Linked DNA regions of Arabidopsis thaliana. The protein of the gene in region 1 interacts with the protein of each later gene in a pairwise test. Each region holds a gene or a part of one and is shown in the gene's direction. Other genes may lie near its edges.

Region 1 (10,889 bases):
GCGTAGAGAAGCTTAGTGCAGATGGAAATTCTGGTCGTGAGTATTATAGTTCTGATCATGATGAGTTAGAACATGAAGATCAAGATTCTTTAACTCCGGGAGAGATGAACATGATGTTTGGGAGCAGGTCTGTGAATGAATTTCAGAAGCTAAACAAGATAAATGAAGGAACATATGGAATTGTTTACAAAGCAAGGGATGAGAAAACAAAAGAGATTGTTGCGCTCAAAAAGATCAAGATGAAGGAAGATAGGTTCGAAGAAGAGTATGGATTCCCTTTGACATCATTGAGGGAAATTAACATACTTTTGTCATGCAATCACCCTGCGATTGTGAACGTGAAGGAGGTTGTGGTTGGAGGGAAAAACGATAATGATGTTTATATGGTCATGGAACACTTAGAACACGACCTGAGGGGAGTAATGGATAGAAGGAAGGAACCTTTTAGCACTAGCGAAGTCAAGTGCTTGATGATGCAGCTGTTGGATGGTTTGAAATACCTCCACACAAATTGGATTATCCACAGGGATCTGAAGCCATCTAATCTTCTGATGAACAATTGTGGGGAGTTAAAAATATGTGATTTTGGGATGGCGCGCCAGTATGGGAGCCCTATCAAGCCTTACACCCAGATGGTTATTACCCAGTGGTACAGGCCACCTGAACTTCTTCTAGGAGCAAAAGAGTACTCTACAGCAGTTGATATGTGGTCAGTGGGTTGCATTATGGCTGAACTGTTGTCTCAAAAGCCTTTGTTCCCGGGTAAGAGTGAGCTTGACCAACTTCAGAAGATCTTTGCGGTCCTTGGAACACCAAACGAAGCAATATGGCCTGGGTTCTCATCATTTCCGAATGCTAAAGCCAAGTTTCCTACACAGCCTTACAATATGTTACGTAAGAAGTTTCCAGCTATTTCATTTGTAGGTGGTCAAATTCTTTCTGAACGTGGATTTGATTTGCTGAACAGTCTACTAACTTTGGACCCTGAGAAACGTCTAACAGTGGAAGATGCTCTCAACCATGGTTGGTTCCATGAAGTCCCGTTACCAAAATCCAAAGATTTCATGCCGACATATCCTCCAAAGCGGTAACTGAGAAAAAACGTGCTATCATTTGGACGAGAGGATGTCAACAAATACACAGGGAAGTCGACTGGTCGTATTTTGGTATTTTCCTTTTTACTCAAAAGACTTGCTTTCATCTATTCTTAACTCAGTTGCGTTGCTTTGTTGCCTGGAGATTCAGGGCATTCTAGTGTACCATTTATTCGGATTCATGTGTAAATATGAGTGGTCCGTAAAACTGAAAGGTGTGTTTCTCTCTTTTCGTTAGGACCCTAATGTTATTGCTATCAAGAGTTGTACACACTATTGACTCACATGCTTTAATGGAAGAGATCTCAGTATTCACTTTCTCTCTCTAGTAATTGGGTTGGGATGGTTATTGTTTATGTCCTCATATTTCTTCTGTGCATTGTTTTTATTCACGAGGTAAACGCAAAGAGTTTATCACAAACGTGAGAATGGAAGTTGACATCAGTAAGTTTATTTTGATTACTTATTTACCACGCTCTGTTATCAATGTTGGTTTGTTGTTCGACGTCCCTTTGTCTTTGAGGTGCTCGTATTTGGTCTGTTGGCAGTGAGAAAAAGATGATTCATGATGAGTTTCTGTGGACATAGGAGGTATGGCAGTGGTTTTTTTCATGTTAATCCGAGAATTAAGGGATTTGGGATAAAAAGCTATATAGAAAGAAGCTAAAATAAGTTTGTCTTCAACACTATAACCCTTTGTCCTCCTTTCTTTTTAACTTCTGTAAACAGCTAAGCTAAATCAAGTTCATTTCAATAACGAATAAACTAGAATCAGCATTACCTTTGACGAGGCCATAAACAGAAAGGATATTACACAACACACAACAGTGATCAATATGAGGAAAAGCTTCTTTTGCGAGATGATCTGCATCGTTTCGGTCCTTAGTCTTTTGCTCCCAGCTCCTTACCATATGTCATTGTGCAGCTTCAGCTGTCTATTACCATTTAACAATCGGTAATGTTTCAACAATCACTTTTGTAAATTCCCTTTCCCATATTCCAAACTCCTGTAGAATCAAATCTCATATTGTAGTTGGAATTTTTCAAAACGAGGTTTCTAAATTAGTTTTCTCTATATCAGATAACCAACAATGATATTTTGTTCGAACCTTTGGTCGATTAAAGAGAACAGATAATGATTGCCACATCATCTGATTTCTCTAATGATACAGAATTTCATAAACAAATATATAGAAACGAAATACTGATTTATCAAGTTTAAAATTAACTAAAGAATGCCCTAGTCATGGGTCCTCCTTTCCAAAACTGTACAAGTGTCCCAGACAAAACGACCAGTTTAAAAGCCCTTATCGAGACATCACACATTACCTTTTTTAAACTTTACCGACTCTGACACCATCAGATCCACACGTGGCGAGAATTCATTTGGCCACTTTCCCCAATTAGGGTTCTTGGGCGTGGTTTTGATGGTGATTCAGTCTACCTTTTTCTCTCTGTCATCGAACCTCTCTATATTTAGTATTTCCTTATCTTCTTCAGCTGTCAGATTATAATTGGGTGAACATGTTCGATTTTATTGTTTAGTGTTGATAGGATTTAGTACTTGTCTTATATTTATAAAATAAATAGCCAAGGTTTGTCGATGGTGAGCATTTAAATTCGGGGTTCTTTTTTTTGTTGTTTGAATTAGTAACTAACGATGTTTTATCATTGGTTCCTTCATATCCAACGAAATGACAAAATATCACCTTTTTCTCAAATTTTGTAACTATTGATTCTTAAAAAAACATGGTACATCTGTTAAGTGTCTGTAATTTTTGATGTGTTTATGTATAGTTTTAATTTTTTTACATCAATGCATAAAGCGAAATGTTTTTGGTCATGTATATACAGTATGTGTTTTTCTTACAACAAATATATTACTGATGATATACGATTATATATATACGTATATAATATATGATTAAGAAATGATATGTTATATAGTCCGTAACGGATAAGATTGCTTTGTCCCATATGCATATTATATCATTAATGATATTTTTCATTTTTCGTTATTCATCCGTTATATTTTTCATTTTTCATTTGTCCCATATGCATATTATATCAGTAGTATGTTTCGATGGTGGTTTTATGTTGAAACTGTTGGCTATCGTATTATATAATTAATTAGGTATAGAATCAGCAGGTGAGGGTGAGAGCAAAGGTAGTCAATTTTATTCATTTGTTTAATATATACGTAGTAATCAATGTCTTTAAGCCAAATATAATTTGATCTGATCCAACCCAAAAAGATTGTATTTGTGCATCCTTCTTCTTTTAGTAACTATGACATGTTTTTGATAATTGCATTTACTATCTGTAGGGACGTCAAGTAGAACCACTAAAATCATCTATACTTTAATGATCAAGATTACATTGTTGAATTAAAACTTTAGCTACATCAACTCTATACGGTATATCGTGTTTTCCTTGCAACAAAATATGTAATAACGAAAAATGGAAGATGAGATATCGAATGTTAAAGAATCAAACCTAACTCTCAAGTCTCAACATCAGTCATCAGTTTCGTCCACATTCATGAATGTATAAATATATATGGACTAATTATTAAGCCTTGGTTAATTAAATAATGAGATTGTTTGTGTAAATTATAGTTGTAAGTTGATAAGCTAATTACATATCTCTACGTGTCCTCTTGCGTGCAACGTACAACGCAACACAAACCCATCAGATTTTTCTTGATGCCATCTCGAACTGCCTTCCGAATCTACTTTATTTCTATGTTACTATATTGGATTTTTAATAAGATTTTGACTCTCATGTCCATATATACTTTTTCCGAATCAATTGTATGATTATATTTAAGATGGCTCCATGATACCGTCACTCCCTCATGATTTTTATTTATACGCCATCCAATGTTCCTTCTTTCCCTTTCATAAAAGAGGTGGCCTAACTTCATTGGCACAAAATTCCTCTTTGGACATGAGATCATCGACCTTGTCCCGTTAATAAAGATTTGAGATCTAGAGTCACGATCACCTTTAGTTGATTAAGATTATATTCCACTAAATTAAATTCAGAATCGGTCAATGATAATGTATGAACCCTCATCTCTTGGACCATGCCTAACATTACCTTTTTTTTTTCATTTCGATGTACTATATTTTAACCTAATTTTGGCATTTATTCATGATTATCTGTTTTTAGGCCAAACAAATTAGTATACTATTCAGGTACTAAAGTAGTAAACACAAGGGTCAAAGTGATTATTAGCTAACCACGGGACCTACTAATTAATTATATACTATTAGACCAGATTAGGTTCTCAATTCCGTTCCTTATGTATACGTCTAATTATAAAAATCTCGAATGCTAACATCATATTTTTTTCATCCGCGCTTTGATTGAACAACCGAATATAAGAATCAAATATATACCTTCATGTCAAATATTAATTAGACCAATATACTGAGAACTTCGAATTTTCCAATAACAAAACACCGACCATTTTTAAAACATTAAATTACAATAAGTACTGCTTAATTTGTGATAAAAAAAAAATAGTACAAGTTTAATTATATTTCTATGTCATGCCATTTTTGAATAGTTTTTTTTGTCGTTTTAGAAAATAGTTTTAAACATAAATTCGATTCATTTTTCATGTCCATTACAGAAGGAAAAAGAGCATGTGCAAGTGCAACGGTGATAAGCGTATTCTAGACAAAGACACGCGTATCAACCCAACACTTGTCATCTTCAGAGTCCCTATATAAACCCCTTCACACACACCTCTCTTCATTATTCTTCAAAGCTCCCACTAAAACCTATTAAGAGAGAAAGATATATACAGAGAGAGATCATGGACGGTAGGGGAGGTTGTTGCATAGCCAGATATGGTGGTTACGGTGGTCGCTACGGTCTCTCCAAAGCAGATCGAATCATGCTTCGTTTTCGTCCCATTGCTCCTAAACCGGCCAGCGACGGTGGAAGTGTCTCTCTCACCGGGAAGAGCGGCTCCACCACAACTACAAGTGGTGGAAGCTCCGATCTCTCAGGTAAATCTGGGAGAGGAAAGAGAAAGTATCAAAAAGATTGTTCCGGTGGGAACTCCCGAAGGTGCAATAAGAAGAAGAGAGATCTAAGTGGAGACACTGCTACTACCACGGCGGTTACATTGTCTCTTTTACCAGAGACGCCTGAGAAACGAGTTTTTCCAGATCTGAATGCTTTTCCGGTGGAGAAGCAGAAGCGAAACGGTCCTTTATGGCTGAGTTTCAACGGCGGTGGTGAGATTTTAACGCCGTACAAAACGGCGGAGATATCACGAAGGACGGTGGTGGTTTCGTCGTGTGTGACGGTTGAGCGTGTGACTGACGCTTGGATCGACGGTTATGGATTAGGGGAGACAAATCAGGAGAGGAAGATGAATCTAGTGGAAGACACGTGTCCTGGTTTTATATCGGACGGTGTAGGGAGAGTCACGTGGACCAATGAGGCGTATAAGAAGATGGCTAGAGAAGATATTAATATTCCGATGGAGGAAGGTGTACCGGAGGATATTAGTTACGATAATTTTCACGTGAACGTACGGTTAGTGATGAAGGAGAGGCCGATGCTAACGTACCCAGCTTTCACATGCAGAGTGAGATTACAGTACACGTGTCAAGATCGAGAAAGAGGATCCGTCACGGTGCCTTGTGACGTGTGGAGAATGGACGGCGGTGGTTTTGCGTGGAGGCTTGACGTTAAGGCAGCTTTGTGTCTGTGACGTTCTTTCATTCGCCACCGTTGGATTTACAATGGTGAAAATGATGAATGGTCCCGATCGTATCGTATCACACATGGCCCTTCGTAGAACTAAAAATATAGCAAGTGATAAACTTTGGTTATTTAATTTTCACCTTGAACATATGTTTCTGTGTTTTATTTTTTAGTTTGCTTTCTTCTTTAGTTAGTATTTTGTTTATAAAATGCTGTTTTCTCTAAATTGCTAATCTCAAATTTATGTTTTTTTTTGTTTTGCTTAAAAATTTCAAGAAAGTTGTATATATGTATGCCTTTTACAATCATTAAAGTTTTTCTTTTTCACATTGTTCGTTTTCATGTCATTTAAGCTTGAAGATGAAATTGTCAACATTCGTTTGCAAAGGTGTTAACATAATAAACAGTCTTCCCAAGCCCATACAAGAGCATTACGTAGAAAAATAAATAGTTTACTAATGGGTAGCCTCATGATATTCACTAATGGGCCTGAAAATCAAAAGATTCATAGGCACGTGTAATTCAATCGCGCTATTTACAGGGCGCGTTTAGTGGATAAAATAGTCAAAATAGTGGAGACAATGTCGGTCGGTATCCGCGTCTATTACACGCGCTATAGTAACACGTGTAATCTATTAATTCTTGCGATTTGGAGTATTAATACTCACGCGCTCCAAGATCTTTTCTCAAAACAATTAGAGATCCAGATTCACTAGATTGCACCGTAGCCTTCACAGCCGTTAGATCTAAATATCGACGGTACATATCGAAAGGATAATTGTAGCCGTCTAGATTTGGTTGGCTGGAATTTAACGGCTTAGATTCGATTAAAGGCGGCGGGCTGCTCATCTCTTCGGATCTATAAGTAGAGAAGCAAATTGTTCGTTATTCTTCGTAAGTCTCTCTCTCTCCTCTCACCTCTTTCGTTTTTTCGAATTTTTTTTTAGTTTTCCATTCGAAAAGATATCCAGAAGCTCTCGATCTAGGGTTTTCCAAATCGATTTTGGTACCTTTTTTTTGACTCAGTCGAGGGTTTTTCTAGGGTTTCGATTAGCTTTTTTGCCAATTGCCGTTGAGGAAGATACTTCTTCGGTGAATTTGATTTGATTTTGACCTGAGGGAGAAGCAAGAAGCTTAGACCAATTGGGATTCTCAGTTTGGTAAGTCAACGTGCAATTCATAGGAATTCATCATCGGATTGATTTGGTAATCGCATTCTTGTGATATTTTTTCGGGGAATTGTGTTTTGGCTCGATAACGATGAATGGTGTCTATAGATTCATTGTTGAAGATATCTGCAAGATTTTTGGAGCAAAGGCATAAAAGCATTACTTGCTTGATTTTTTTTTTTAGTTTGTTTTATATTCTAATTTGATGGTGTGAAGACGATTAACTCTGAAAAGCGAATGAACTGTTGGGTTTCTGGTTTATAGCAAACGATGGGTAAAGCGCGGAAACACTCTAGAGGGAGACCATCAGGCTTTGTTCCTGATTACATGCAAGCTGTTGAGCCTGATGAATTTGTTTACTCAGAGAGGATGAATTCTGAGGCGTCTCCTCCACTGAAAAGGAGACGTTTTGGTTTGAATGGAGATAACAATGGCGTTTCTAAAGAGGTTTTGTCTCTGTCAAAGATGTCGAGGTCTGAGAGAAAGAATTTAGTTCACAAGTTGAAGATGGAGCTTCAACAGGTCAGGGACCTTAGTAAGAAGATTGCATCTTTCAGTTCAGACACTGTTCTGTTGTCGCCATACAATGATCATAGCTGCAGTGATGGGCCTAGGAGGCCGCCACCAGAAAACTTTGCTACATTTGTTGGGTCACAGGGCAAAAAGCGCCCTCCTGTGCGCAGTGATAAGCAGCGGAATAAGAAAGGTCCATCTCGATTAAATGTCCCAACAAGTTATACTGTTGCTTCAGTGATGAAGGAGTGTGAGACGTTACTCAATCGTTTATGGTCACATAAGTCGGGGTGGCCATTTCGTACTCCAGTTGATCCAGTGATGTTGAATATTCCAGACTATTTTAATGTGATTAAACATCCAATGGATCTTGGAACGATACGAAGCAGGCTGTGTAAAGGTGAATACTCTAGTCCTTTGGACTTTGCAGCAGATGTGCGTCTTACATTTTCAAATTCTATAGCTTACAATCCACCAGGAAATCAGTTCCATACTATGGCTCAGGGTATCAGTAAATATTTTGAATCGGGATGGAAAAGTATAGAGAAAAAAATACCTATGTCTAAACCACCAGTTATTCCCCTAACCAGTTCTGCTTCTCTGGAGTCTGAAATCCCTTTCGAAGTAGCACCGATGAGAAAGAAGGAAGCTGCAATGAACGATAACAAGCTGAGGGTGGAACCTGCTAAGTTGGTCATGACAGATGGTGAGAAGAAAAAATTAGGCCAAGATCTGATGGCATTAGAAGAAGATTTCCCTCAAAAGATTGCTGATCTCCTGAGAGAGCAAAGTGGCAGTGATGGTCAATCTGGAGAAGGTGAGATTGAGATAGATATAGAAGCGCTTTCTGATGAAATCTTGTTCATGGTTCGGAAACTCCTGGATGACTATTTAAGGGAGAAAAAGAAATCCATGGAAAAGAGCGAACCTTGTGAGATGGAGGTAAAGAACCTCTCTGATTATTTTTAGTAATCGTTTGTGTGCACTTGGAAATGTTGACATTTGACTTTTGGTTTTAACTTTTCTTTTACAGATTGTTCATGACTCTGGATTCAGTAATTCCCCTTTGCAGCCTAGTAAAGGTATGTTTTTGCTATTTAATTTGATGTCGAAAATGATTTCCTTCAGTAATCTGAGTATCTGATGTACTCATAATCACAGGTGATCTGCAAATTGACGAGGATGTTGACATAGTTGGTGGGAATGACCCCTCGGTCTCAAGCCATCCTCCTCTTAAGATAGAAAAAGATGCTGCATGTAGAAATAATGAAAGCAGCAGTTCGAGTAGCTCTAGTAGTGAATCAGGCTCTTCATCTAGTGGTTCGTGTTTATGCGAGCCTTCTTCTATTTCCTTAGAATAATCATTTTGTTTCTCTTAAATAGTGCATTGATTTGTACAGTTTGTAAGAATAGTTAAGATTGGAAATAAAGTAACTTTTCTATTGAAATGATTAGTATTGGACTCCTGAGTCTTGTTTTGTAATTTGAGCCTACGTCGTGTCCCATATTATCTTTTCGATGCTTTTTCTCTGCTCTAGTAAGTGTGGTTATTCCCTTGCTATAGAGGATATTATAGTTAGTTTCTGTGGTTATCGTTTATGACGAATGAATTAAGTTCTTACATTGTGGTTTGGCAAACTGTAGAATTGATTCCTTTGCTTTATTTTTACTCATAGGAAGTGCTTTTTATACTGATGTGTTCTGTGATTATCTTTCAGATTCTGATTCTTGTAGTTCCTCTGGGAGTGAAACAGATTCTATTAAAGCTTCAAAACCCACAAGTAGAGAGGTATATCTAACAGTGGAATAACTTATGTTATGGAGTCTCTGTGTTTGGATGTTGCTCTAATTTCTGCAAGATTTTTCATTTACTCACCAATATTTCCATGGACTATTTGCAATCATAAAAGTGAAATTACTACAGAAAAATAAGTATAGTCTCCTCTTTAATTTAGGAAAAAAAGCAACCAGGAGTTGGTATAGACAAAAAAGAGGATGATAGCAACAGTGAGAAGATAGTTGTAAATGGTTAGTCTCTTTATAATTGATGTATGCAAGTTGGAGTGCTCGGATATAGAAGTCTTCCCGACACTCATTCTTTGTTCTCTGTAGATTCTTTGAATGAATTGGATCAACTTGAGCATACTGTTGGGGAAAAGTCAACCACCATGGATGCAGTAGTTCTCGTTCCAGATGGTAAGAAATGAAAGTTAAGGAAGGTTGGAGATGGTAATAGATGTTTATTTTCAGATCATGAGTTTACCTGTCATGCTTTGGTATTATAGAGGAGACTGCTCCACCTGAGAGGCAAATTTCCCCAGATTCCCCAGATAAGCGTTACCGCGCGGCTTTCTTGAAGAATCGTTTTGCTGATACCATTATGAAAGCTCGAGAGAAGGCTTTTACCAAGGTTGAATTTTTAAGTGTCCGATCTACTGTGTTGACGAAAAAGCTCGCCTGAACTTGTGGATTGTTTTAATCAAAAAATTTAATGCATCAAATTTCAGGGTGAAAAAGGGGATCCTGAAAAATTGAGGATAGAAAGAGAGGAGTTTGAAAAACGGCTACGGGAAGGTTGGATTGTAGTGCATTCGAGTGTGCTTATGTACCCATAATTCCTAACTAAATACTTTTATTTTTAATTCTTGCGATTTCCGTTTGATTAGAAAAAGAACGGTTACAAGCCGAGGCCAAAGCAGCTGAGGAGGCTCGGAGAAAAGCCAAAGCAGAAGCCGCAGAAAAAGCGAGGAGGGAAAGAGAGCAAGAGAGAGAAGCTGCACGTCAAGCTTTACAAAAGGTATAAAAGACTTTTCGAGTTTCTCTTCTATTATTCAGAGCCCTACCATGGTGTACAATCATGATAAATGACTTTCTGGTCTGTTGCAGATGGAAAAGACAGTGGAGATAAACGAGGGCATACGGTTTATGGAAGACCTCCAGATGCTTAGAGCTACAGGTACAGAAGGTGATCAATTACCGACTTCCATGGAAGTGATGAGTCCCAAGTTTAGTGAGGATATGTTGGGTTTGGGTAGTTTCAAGATGGAAAGCAACAGTAATCCATTAGAACATCTAGGTCTGTATATGAAAATGGATGAGGATGAGGATGAAGAAGAAGACCCGCCACACTTTAGCCAGAGAAAAGTAGAAGACAATCCCTTTGACAGAAGTGAAAAACAGGAACATAGTCCTCACAGAGTAGAAGGAGAGGATCAACTCGTTAGCGGAAATGAAGAGCCGGTGAGCCAAGAGGCACATGATAATGGGGACCAAGAAGATGGAAAACCCATAAACCCAAATGAAATAGAACGACAACTGGAGAATATGCCAGAGCAAGAAAGTGGAGTTGGTGACAAGGAAGAGCAAGAAACTGAAGTTGTCGATA
Region 2 (11,237 bases), on another chromosome or scaffold:
ATGAAATACAAAGCGAGGTTTTAATAACAGAGCAGCCAAAGGAAGAAAAAAGGAGGAGACCTGGAAGACCCAAGAAGAAACAACTAGTAGAGAAGAAACCACCATTGGACGAAAAGAAAAGCAGAGCTGCAAGTATAGCAAGGAAAACTTTTACTGCTTTTGGTAGCTCTCTACAAAATGCACTAAAGAATCATCCTGATTACATATGCAGTGTGACGCATGCAATGGATGTTTTAAATGGTCTACCTAGAGTGAAGAAGTGGTTGCCTTTATACCGTGCTTCCATGGACCATCTGATGGCTGATGTAGCTCACCGCCAAGCCTTTTTAACAGTCTCTGATCCTGAGGATATGATTCGCTACTTGAGGTATAAGACCCAAAAAATGAAGAGGGAGTGATTGCTATTTGCCTTGGTGACTTGTTTTCATGTTTTTTGTCTTCACTTTTTGTTACTACTCTTTGCTTTGATTTGCAATGTAGTAGTGCTGGTTACTTCTATCATTGAATAAGAAGATGGCTGAACATTTGAAAAAAAAATCAACGCAAGCTTGCCTTTGGCTTGACAATTTTATTACAACGAGAGTGACAAATATAAACTCAAAGAAAGGTTAACCCCTGTTTCTCCATTCAAACTATTATGCTGATACCTTTTTTCTTCACAAATGGCTCAAATAATCAGTCTAGTCAATGTGTCATCATCTCTTCCATTGGCACGGTATGCTATAGAAAGCAACTCAGAAGAATCCTGGGAGACTACACATCCATGACGCAGAAAGAAGTTCTTGAGTGCTTTAGTTGGAGAAAACCCACATGGCGGTACGATTTTCCTAAGAGATGGATTTGCAAAAACCATCCAAGTGTACATTTTCTTATCAGCTTCACAATACTTGAGGTTAATCTCTCTTAAACGTATGCAGCTCTGCACAACTTCCTTCACCCCTCTTGAACTCACATTCAAGCATCCTTGCAGATCAAGATGCAACAACCCTCGACACTTTTTGCTGATCATATCTAAGGCTTCATCGTCGATCCAAGTTCCACATGCTCGCAAAGACTCCAACTTTGGAAGCTCAAAGTCTACTACACCAAGACTCTTTATGCCCGTACATCTGCTGATGTCCAAAGATCTTAGCTTGCCACAATTCCTCCAAACTTCAAGAATCCCATCTCTCGTGATGCCAGGACACTGAGCTACGTCAAGACTTTCTATAAAAGGGCAATGCCGTGATATCTTTTCGAGACACTCATCGAGCAAATTGTGGTTTCTAGATAAGTACAAAAACTTGACCCCTGACTTGAAATCCTTCGTATCCTTGGTATATTCTTCCACTCCAAAGTTCGTCCCTACCATTATCATGCACCTCAGGGAAACACATCTTTCAATAATACTAAAGAATGCTAGACCAGTTAACTTGGAACAGAAACTCAGATTCAAAAAGGTTAAACGCCGAAAGAACATCCCTAATTTCATAACCATCTCATCAGAGAGGAAATTTGCTCCTTTGAGGTTCAAGTGAACTAGTGATTGGTACTTGTCCAGCAGATACAAGATCCCATCAAAAGTAAAACCGTGGCAATCGGAGAGAAGAAGCTTCTTTAGAGGTAACTTAGCACTAGCAATCAAACAGAGCAAGTCATCAGACAAAAACGAATCCGAAAGATCAAGCTCAGTCAAACAACGAGCAAACAAGAACGCATCGGTTAACAAAGACTCCCTCGGTCTCAATCCGATTCCGTTGATCGCAAGAGACTCCAAGTTACGGGAATTGCGAAGAACGAATTTGATGCAATCCGACGAAATGAAATCACAGTCACGGAAGATTATCTCTCTCAAGAGAAGACAATTCTGCGAGAGAGCAATCAAAGATTTATCTGTGATGAAACTATTACCAGAAATGTTAATCTTCAACAAACCTTTGAGATTCGAGGAAAGCTCGATAACACCAGAATCAGAGACTCGACTCGGACTTGAATTAGGATAGCTAATGTCCAGCTTCTCTAGCAACGGAAAATTCACTCCGATGGAAACCAGATCGCTATCACTAAAACCTCCAACTCCATAACATTTCAATTCCTTGACATTCTTCATCTCAAAATCTGGGAAATAGCGCGTTTGCGAGACATCTACCGATTCGAAATCCAAACCGGAACGAGAAACCTGGAGAAGAATCGAATTGAGATCCTGAGTGAAATCAGAGAACCTGATTCGCTTCAAGTTGCGGAATCGAAGGAGATGACGATTGAGTAAAGGAACAGCTCGATCGGTGACGACGAAAGTAGAGCGAACGCGATTGGTGATTGAGAGGAACAAGGTTGATACGAGTGAAACAGATTCCAGGAATCGATAATCGTCTTCATCGATAGCTTTGCAGATTAATTCCCAACATTCTTCAGGTAAATCCATGGATGATGGATTTGATGAAGATTAGCTCAAATCAAACTAACAACAAACACAGTATGTAACTAACTATATATCATCCTTCAATTTCGCTGGCAGCTGGCTTTTAACCTTATCCAATTTTAAAATTTCGAAACTGGGCTTGTTGTGGCTTTTTATTCCTTAATGGCCCAATAACTATATTTGTTTTTCCAACAGATATTGGGCCTAACGACTGATTCATTTCAAAATTTCAAAACTGGGCTTGTATTGACCCAATAAGATATAAAAGGCTCATTATTCTTGTAAGGCCCTCAATAAGTCTAGTTGTTATTCAACTGTACAGTTGTGACTAGTCAGTGACCACTTGTGTCGGTAATTAAAGTTTGAAGAGGACAGACATAGAGAGTTCACATGAATAATGCTCAAACTTTTGGACCTTTGTCGTCTGTATTTTTTTAAAATAAAAAGAATAAAATTCTTGGATGCACTCTATTAAACCATGACTTGTCGTTTTGTTCACTAAATCCGCATGAATTGAATTTGGGGAGTGACCCAATCGAATCATTTGGATTACTGTGCCTCGATGCAAACAACTCTATCGAGAGATTACACAATCCATTCTCAATCCATATTCTTTCCATATATCACACCATTTTATTAATCTGATTAAAAATAATAATTTCTTTTACGACAAGATGTATTTTTTTTTTCTTGGAAATTAAAAGACTAAACTTATGAATATGAAGGAACATTAAAAACACCATTTATGTAATTGGATTGTACTTTGATTGCTTTATGTACTTTCTTTGTATTCTTGATTTTTCTAATTTAATAAAGATATAGTATAACTATACGTTAAAGAAAAAGGAACAAGGCTTTAATTAATAGATAAAAATCTGTTAGCTTTACGTATAAAAGGTTTAATTCTATTTGTCAACTAGTAGTATCAGCATCATCTCTAACATTGGGATGTTAAATTGTTGTAATGGTAGAGAGAAAATCAAAATTTTAAAGATTGGCTAATGGGAAGAAACTGTTTTGCTAACTACACATCCTCCTCCTCACTCTCTCCACAACTCCACGTCTTATCACCACGTCTGGGATTAGGCACTCTTTGCTGCTTTATTAGCCTTTTTGTCCACCTTTTCATAACTGCCACATGAAGACCAAACACCTAAAACCTTTGTCCTTCTCTCTCTCTGTTTCCCAACTCCAACAGTGTCTCTTGTCTACATCTCCTCCAGACAAAGATAATCTCTAGCATTTTTCACCATCTCCATAAAAGAATTAGATAGAACACGAAGCAGCTTCGTACTCTTTATCTCTCTCTCTCTCTCTTTTTGTCTTTTCTCTGCATATTTGTTGATACCAGACAACAAAATTAAATATGTGTCTCCTTCGTCATTTGCTACCCATTTGGGTTCTTCTTGGTTTCTTCTTCTTCTCCACTGCTACTAAATCACAAGAATCTTCCGTTGTCTACGTTTCTGGTGCTTCCCCCGAAATCCCCATTTCTCAGGCTTCTCCACGAATGGGAGCTCAATCCCCAGGTACTTATTAGTTTCCCCTTTCCAAATTTTCTCCATGTTGCCCCTAAGAACAAAAATATCAATATTTGGTGATTGGGTCTTACTAGTTCTTGAAATTGTCGAAATGTGTTTGCTCATACTTTCATAAAGGAATTGAATTTAGTTGAATTGATACTGTTTCCCAATTAAAACTGAAAACTTTCCGATAATTAAGCAAATAAATTGAATTTTATCCCTTATTTAAATTTAACTTTGCTCAGGACCTCCCATTGTTAAAGTGGTGCTTCGCCAGGACTTGAACAAGAAGATTCTAATTGCTCTTATAGTCTCATCATCTCTGCTCTGTGTCACAGTCATGTTCCTTGTGTATCTCTTGCTATGGAGGTACAGGAATATGAAGAACAGCTTCACCGGTATCAAACGCAAATCCGGTATTCAATTCTATCTCTTTATATTTTTGTAATTTCCTTGGTTTTGTTATGGCTTATTTTGGTGCTTTGGTTATCTGAAGATTCGGTGAAGAGTGTAACCACGAAACCGACTGTACACAAGATTGATTCTGTGAGGAAAGGAACCATCCCTGTGTATGAATATCAATTGCTGGAATCTGCAACAAACAAGTTTAGTGATAGTAATGTGTTGAGCCGAGGTGGTCGTGGATGCCTTTACAGAGCTTGTCTCGATGAAAAATCCTCAGTCACTGTGAAGAAACTTGATGGCGGTGGGGAGACAGACATTGAAAAACAGTTTGAGGTTTGACCCCTAAGATGATTATACAGAATCGCACCATCTCATTCGATAAACCATAACTCGGTTTTTTGCTTTCTCTTGTTGATTTTCTAATGCAGACTGAAGTAGATTGGTTGGCTAAGATCAGGCATCAGAACATAGTTTCCTTATTGGGGTTTTGCGTATATCGGCAAACGAGTTGTATTGTGTATGAGTTGATGCAGAATGGATCTTTGGAGAGTCAGTTACATGGTAAGGGGATATGATCCATGTTTGTTCCATCTTTTGTCATCTGATTTTGATTTTGTTGTGCTTTTGAATGCTCTAAGGGCCTAGTCAAGGTTCAGGTTTAACTTGGCAGCTCAGGATGAAGATAGCGGTTGATATAGCGAGGTAAAGTCCATTCATTGATAATACTTTCAAACATTTAGTAGTTCCATGTGATCTCCAAGAACATATATTTGTATGCTTACAAAGTATTCTTTTTTCATAAAGAGGATTAGAGTATCTTCACGAGCATTGCCATCCTCCTGTAGTTCACAGAGATTTGAAATCATCTAGCATCCTTCTGGACTCCGATTTCAATGCAAAGGTAAAAGAGAAAATGATATAATGTAGAAAATTCTTCTTAGACTTATTGTATTCTCCATACAATATGAGTCTTAAGGATCTGTTGCCACATTTGCTTCTCTTTAGATATCCGATTTTGGGTTTGCCACGGTTTTGACCACGCAGAATAAAAACCTGATACACAAGGCTTCTGAGGATCTTCTTGATGGTAAGGAGTTAATCTTTTTTCGGGGTTCGATCTTGACATATATGCCAAACGAGATGCTCAAATTTCGACCATTCTGTAATCATCTTTCAGGGAAAGTTACAGACAAGAATGATGTCTACTCATTTGGAGTGATCCTGCTCGAACTTCTCCTCGGGAAGAAATCAGTGGAGAAACCGTCTTCTGAACCAGAATCCATCGTTACTTGGGTACATAATAAAACTTTCACGAGATAGTGGCTTCGTTTAGCAGGAAATCCTCTGACTTGTGATCTTTGTTGATCATCAGGCAGTACCTAAGCTGAGTGATAGAGCTAATCTACCAAACATATTGGATCCTGCAATCAAAGGAACCATGGATTTGAAGCATCTATATCAGGTAAAAAAGCTTCAACAAAATCTCACACAGATTTTACGAAAAACACATTAGCCAAATATAGAAGGAAAAAGATTCCTCTTTGAACTTTGTGTTATATTTTCTTTGGACAGGTAGCTGCGGTGGCGGTGTTGTGTGTACAGCCGGAGCCAAGTTACAGACCACTTATAACCGATGTCTTGCACTCACTCATCCCTCTTCTACCAGTAGAACTCGGTGGATCATTGCGGATTTTATAAAAAAACATTTCCCCTTTCTTTTTTTTTTTCTTGTAACAGATCAATGCGTTTATGAATTTGTCTCTTATGTTGGTTCTTCCGGAGAATTTATTGTTGTATGTTTAATCACTGCTACAAAAAATTCGGAAGTTTTGCTTAAATGGAACCGAGAGACAAGTTAGTAGAGTTTGGTTAGTAAAAGTTAAAGGTTTAAAAGCTTTAACATATAAATAAATAAAAACGTTGACTTTTTATAACAGAGTTTGTTGTTGTGGGGAAATGAATTAATTAATGAACCTTATCCGTTTTGTCGATGATCGATAAAATTTTCAATTTCTCGATTCCCAAAGAAAGATATCTGGGAATTAGACAAGGAGTAGTAATATGAAAGATGGAGGATCAGGAAACGAAGCGGATAACCAAAAAACCGTCAAGATCGATCATCATCAGTCTCAAAGATATTCCTCCTCTCGACCCTTCTTCTATTCCCTCTATGGTAAATATTCATTCACTCCAACCATATTCTCTTCTTTCTCGCTAACAAAAAAATTGATCATCTGGGTTTGAAACAGAGAACAATCTCTGCGTTTTCTATTTGTAGATGATTCTTCTTCTGTGATTTGGCTATATCATGGGTTAATAGTAATAAATATCTCAACTTTGCTTCTGTCAATTGTTAGAAACCAATGGCGCAAGATCATCATAATGTGGGAATGCAGAGATTCCAAGAGAAGACTGACTTCAAGTTTGAAGAAGAAGACAATGCCATTTCTTCCTTCTCTAACATTCAAATTGATCCTAACAGCACAAGAAGCATTTCACTAGAGAAGAAGCTTGCTCCTAAACCAGATGAAGAACACACCACCACCACCAAACCCATATCTAAAGGTTCATTCATTTTTTCTTCACCTCTTTTGCTAATTATGATGTAAACTTGTTCGGAAACCAACAGAGATTGCAATTTTTGGTATAGAAGATAGAATTTTGGTCATTTTGTTCTGAAATTTGTGTTCCAGATGATGAATCTAAGACTAGGAGAGGCTCAGCTAAATCGGTGTTACACGAAATGTGTGCTTCCAAGCGTTGGAGACCTCCTGTTTATGAATGCTGCAATGTTGATGGACCTTGCCATTTGAGATTGTAAGTAAACATCTTCTAACCTGCACTTGCTTTTATTTTTTGAGTCGCAATCTTTTTTGCATCAACTTGGTTTTTTGGTTCAGATTTACATACAAAGTTATGGTTGAGATTAGAGATTCTTCAGGGAAAACTGTTTTGGAGTGTTTTGGGGATCCCAGACGCAAAAAGAAAGCTGCTGCTGAGCATGCAGCAGAAGGAGCGCTTTGGTATCTTGAGCATGTGAAGACAAAGCCGCATCAGTAAATCATCATTTAGTCGATATGAAGTAGCTGGAGAGTTTAGTAAAGCCATCTATAGTTAGTTCTAACGAGGGAAGCTTGAACCATATTATACCTATCTTTTAATTCATTATAGCTCTATGGGTTGTAACAGTTTTGATCTGTATCAGAACTTTTCTTTCAAACTTTGTGCCATTATATTTCTCCTTAGTAAGGAGCCTTTATCTTTATCTTTATGTTTATGGAATAGAAGAGCTCAAGTCATCCAAGTTAGAGAAAGCTTTGGAGACTTTGTCTGGTTAGACTGAAGGAGGGAATTCAGTTCAGTGAGATTTGAAACACTGATTTTTCTCATTTGCAACTAAGATTTGAGCATTCTTTTTTTTTTTGGTTTTGTTGCATTCTCTCTTGCGCGGACAGAGACTAGAAGAAACTTACTCAAGAATTCTAAGTAATTGTAAGATCTTATTACTCTTGTAAAAAAGGAAAAAACAAGAATATCTCAAAAATATAAAAAAAGAAGAAGCCACATCCACTGCTAACAAAAGAAACAATTTTCTTTTTGCAGCATTCTCTAATTATGGAAGTGGTTATTTATTCAATACTCTTGTGGGGTTCTAAAACTAAACTGAGAAACACTTGTTTCTGAAATCACAGGGTATAGTGTTGCTGGATAGCCTCAATGTCTAGTCCCTTCTGCTTCACTACTGATTCCACGTGACCTTTCAAGGTGTGACGTTCCCTTAACCTGAAATTTACAAGACAAGAAATGTTTGTAAGCCCATTTTCTGAGGAACCTAATGGTATGGAATAATCAGTTACTTGAGCGTTGCCTTGCAACTTCAGCTCGTCTCTTGGCTTGATCAGCTATCTCTGAAAGCTCTCTGTAAGTGCTCTTGTCATTGAACATATCTGAGGTTTGAGCTGGCTGCAATCCGTGAAGTGTACGTTGCGCTTGTGCCCATTGTGCTTCTCTCTCTCCCTTTCCGTAGTCTTTCTTTGACGTGAAAGCGGTCTGAACAGAGGAACAAAGGTTAGGAAAAAGGATTATACTACTGTGTTCTTGTTCTCATCAGTATTGGCCTGAGAAGCAAACCTTGTTCTCAATGACATTATCCCATGCTCTTCCACTCAGTGAATATCTGATGATGAACTTGAGGATATCCAATGGGATGTAGAAGACTATACTATAGAGCCAGATAACTCCTGCCCATCCCCACCCAATACCTCTGATTCTTGCAAAATTCCAGTTTGCGTATACCGCAATCAAAGTAGCAATCTTGGAATGAAAACAACAACAGTGTCAGTATATACTGAAGCTTCTTATGTAAGAGTACTGAATCTTTAACTTACCAGCTGAGCCATGAAAAAGGCAGAGATCAACCAGAAGCCAGGACGTTCAACATATGACCAGCTTCGCGACCTTGTTACAAAGATAAGCGCTTGGCTCACGATACTAACTTGTAGGTAAACAGCTGCTGTTAGCTCATGCGGATTTCCACTGATAGATCTCACCCCAAACTTTGCCTGCACCAAGAGAAAACTGAAGATCAACACATACACTTACTCGAGCTGGTCATAAAAGTAAGATAGAACTCTCTTACAGAGAAGAAGTCAGTGCTCTCTGCAGCCCAGAAGAAAACTACAGTCATGACTGCTAGGTAAGTGCCAAGAACAACGCCGGTGGCAAATATCTCTTTGAGTTTCCATGAATCAGGAAGTGGAGAAGGCTTTACTCTGTCCTTTGATATCGTCATGATAGTACCATCATTCAGGATAGCAACGATCAAGACCATGAATGGTGAGAAGTCAAACTTCCATATGAGTGCAAGAAGCATAAATCCCATCACTATACGGATTGTGATTGAAACTGCATAGATTGTGTAGTTCTTCATTCTCTGGAAGATGGCTCTGCTCGTTAGGACAGCACTAACTATGACACTAAGCCCTGGCTCGGTTAGTACAATGTCAGATGCACTTCTTGCTGCATCAGTCGCATCAGCAACAGCTATTCCAATGTCAGCTCTCTTGAGAGCTGGGGCATCGTTCACTCCATCACCAGTCATGCCACAAATATGCTTCATCTCTTGAAGCCTCTTCACAATCTCATACTTGTGTTCTAATCAGACAGATGAAACAGAGTTAAATTTATGGAGTTGAACCACTTGTGAAGGTAGAAGATTTGATTGTTTTTACCAGGGAAGACGCCGGCGAAACCATCTGCCTTCTCTATGAGTTCATCAACAGGAAGGCTAGCTATAGATTCATCCTTATCTTGTCCAAGTAGAGCAGAAGATGGATACATGTTTGTGCCCATCCCAAGCCTACGACCAGTTTCCTTACCAATGGCAAGTTGGTCACCAGTGATCATCTTGACATTAACACCAAGATCAAGGGCACGCCTGATTGTCTCTGCACTGTCATGTCTTGGAGGGTCAAAGAGAGGTAACAGACCAAGAAACTGCCATGGTTCTCCAGGGCTGTTCTTGTCTTTCTCAGAGACAGTCTGAAATTCAAAAAATAGGAAAAAGAGCATTGATAAAAGAGAAAGAAACACAAATGAATCCCAAAGTTTTGGGACTGGCACTAAATATTATACCTGTCTGCCAACAGCAAGAGAACGAAGTCCTCTGTCAGCAAACTTGTCAATGATGTCATGAGCTCTCTTGCTTGCATCCTCCCGAAGGTTACAGAGCTCAATGATCTAAGAATTACAGAGAATAATCAGTGGGAAAGAATTTGAAAACTCTTGAGAGAAGAAGGAAATGAATTTTGTATTACTTGCTCTGGCGCGCCTTTGCTGACACGGTGCCAGTTTCCATTAGCATCGATGTAAGTGATAGCAGTGCGCTTATCCACAGGGTTAAAAGGAAAGAAATGAACTTCAGTGATGCCTTCTCTTGCTTCTCTGGGATCTCCAAGCATTCCTACAATGCAAGCATCAATAGCATCTTGGTTTTCAACTCTAGAGGCTCTTGCTGCATTCACAAGAAGCTGATCCTTGTCCAAGTCTTTGACAAAAACCTCAACCATGCTCTTGTCAACAGTAAGCTTGTTGAGTGTAAGAGTTCCAGTCTTGTCACTGCACAAAACATCCATTCCAGCCATTTCTTCAATTGCTGTCATTCTCTTTGTGATAGCTCCTTGTTGGGAGAGACGGTGAGATCCGATGGCCATGGTGACAGACAAAACAGTGGGCATAGCAATCGGGATTCCTCCAATGAGAAGCACCAGAAGGTTGTCGATTCCGTCTCTATACGCTCGTTTCTGAATAGGATACATCACAACGATCTCGATGAGCATACCTATAGCGATGGAACAGATGCAGAAGTTACCAATAGCAGTCAAAACTTTCTGGAAATGGCCTTCTTGGTTTGTGCTATCAACAAGATGAGCAGCTTTGCCGAAGAAAGTGTGAACACCGGTAGCGATGACAACAGCTTCTAGCTCTCCTTGTTTGCAGGTGGAGCCTGAGTAAACTTCTTGGCCCGGGTGCTTGGTTACTGGTAAAGACTCACCAGTGAGAGCAGATTGATCAATCTTGAGAGGATCACCATCCAAGAGACGACCATCTGCTGGAACAATGTCACCCAACTTGATGCTGATAATGTCTCCAGGCACCAATATAGCTGCCTCTTGCTCGCTCCACTTGCCATCTCTCAGAACCTTTTCAATTATTATTAGTCATGAATCATCCACATGTTTGCTTGTACATTGAATAATTGTAAAACTTACTTTGGTTTTGGGTGCTAGACCGGCCATCAAAGCGGCAGCAGCATTTCCGGCGTTGTTTTCTTCAATGAAGCTTATGGTAGAGTTGATGATAAGAAGAACCGTAATACCGACGAAATCTTGCCAATCCGGTGGCCTTCC

What was found.
Region 2: the proteins of AT5G63350 (region 1) and RTL1 interact in a two-hybrid assay, tested with the Arabidopsis thaliana proteins (one large-scale study listed by BioGRID).

The regions. Positions count from the first base shown.
Region 1 is NC_003076.8:25,375,156-25,386,044, reverse strand, and holds AT5G63350 (von willebrand factor A domain protein), read left to right. Parts: upstream 1-4,727; 5' UTR 4,728-4,920; coding exon 4,921-5,829; 3' UTR 5,830-6,114; downstream 6,115-10,889. Other genes in the region: AT5G63370 (Protein kinase superfamily protein), read left to right, coding at 1-1,091; AT5G63375 (uncharacterized protein), read right to left, coding at 1,558-1,742, 1,876-2,005; AT5G63340 (uncharacterized protein), read right to left, coding at 6,371-6,435, 6,491-6,681, 6,833-6,936, 6,993-7,151; NPX1 (nuclear protein X1), read left to right, coding at 7,262-8,446, 8,538-8,586, 8,666-8,824, 9,223-9,293, 9,460-9,532, 9,617-9,700, 9,790-9,914, 10,012-10,078 and 2 more.
Region 2 is NC_003070.9:30,308,212-30,319,448, forward strand, and holds RTL1 (RNAse THREE-like protein 1), read left to right. Parts: upstream 1-6,310; 5' UTR 6,311-6,397; coding exon 6,398-6,502; intron 6,503-6,686; coding exon 6,687-6,894; intron 6,895-7,022; coding exon 7,023-7,146; coding exon of another isoform or gene 7,147-7,150; exon of another isoform or gene 7,151-7,229; coding exon 7,230-7,389; 3' UTR 7,390-7,791; downstream 7,792-11,237. Other genes in the region: AT1G80625 (uncharacterized protein), read left to right, coding at 1-398; AT1G80630 (RNI-like superfamily protein), read right to left, coding at 668-2,404; AT1G80640 (Protein kinase superfamily protein), read left to right, coding at 3,768-3,930, 4,170-4,340, 4,421-4,662, 4,758-4,890, 4,968-5,031, 5,134-5,230, 5,335-5,416, 5,507-5,622 and 2 more; HA9 (H[+]-ATPase 9), read right to left, coding at 8,016-8,112, 8,198-8,379, 8,461-8,643, 8,718-8,891, 8,969-9,483, 9,561-9,870, 9,964-10,068, 10,146-11,030 and 1 more.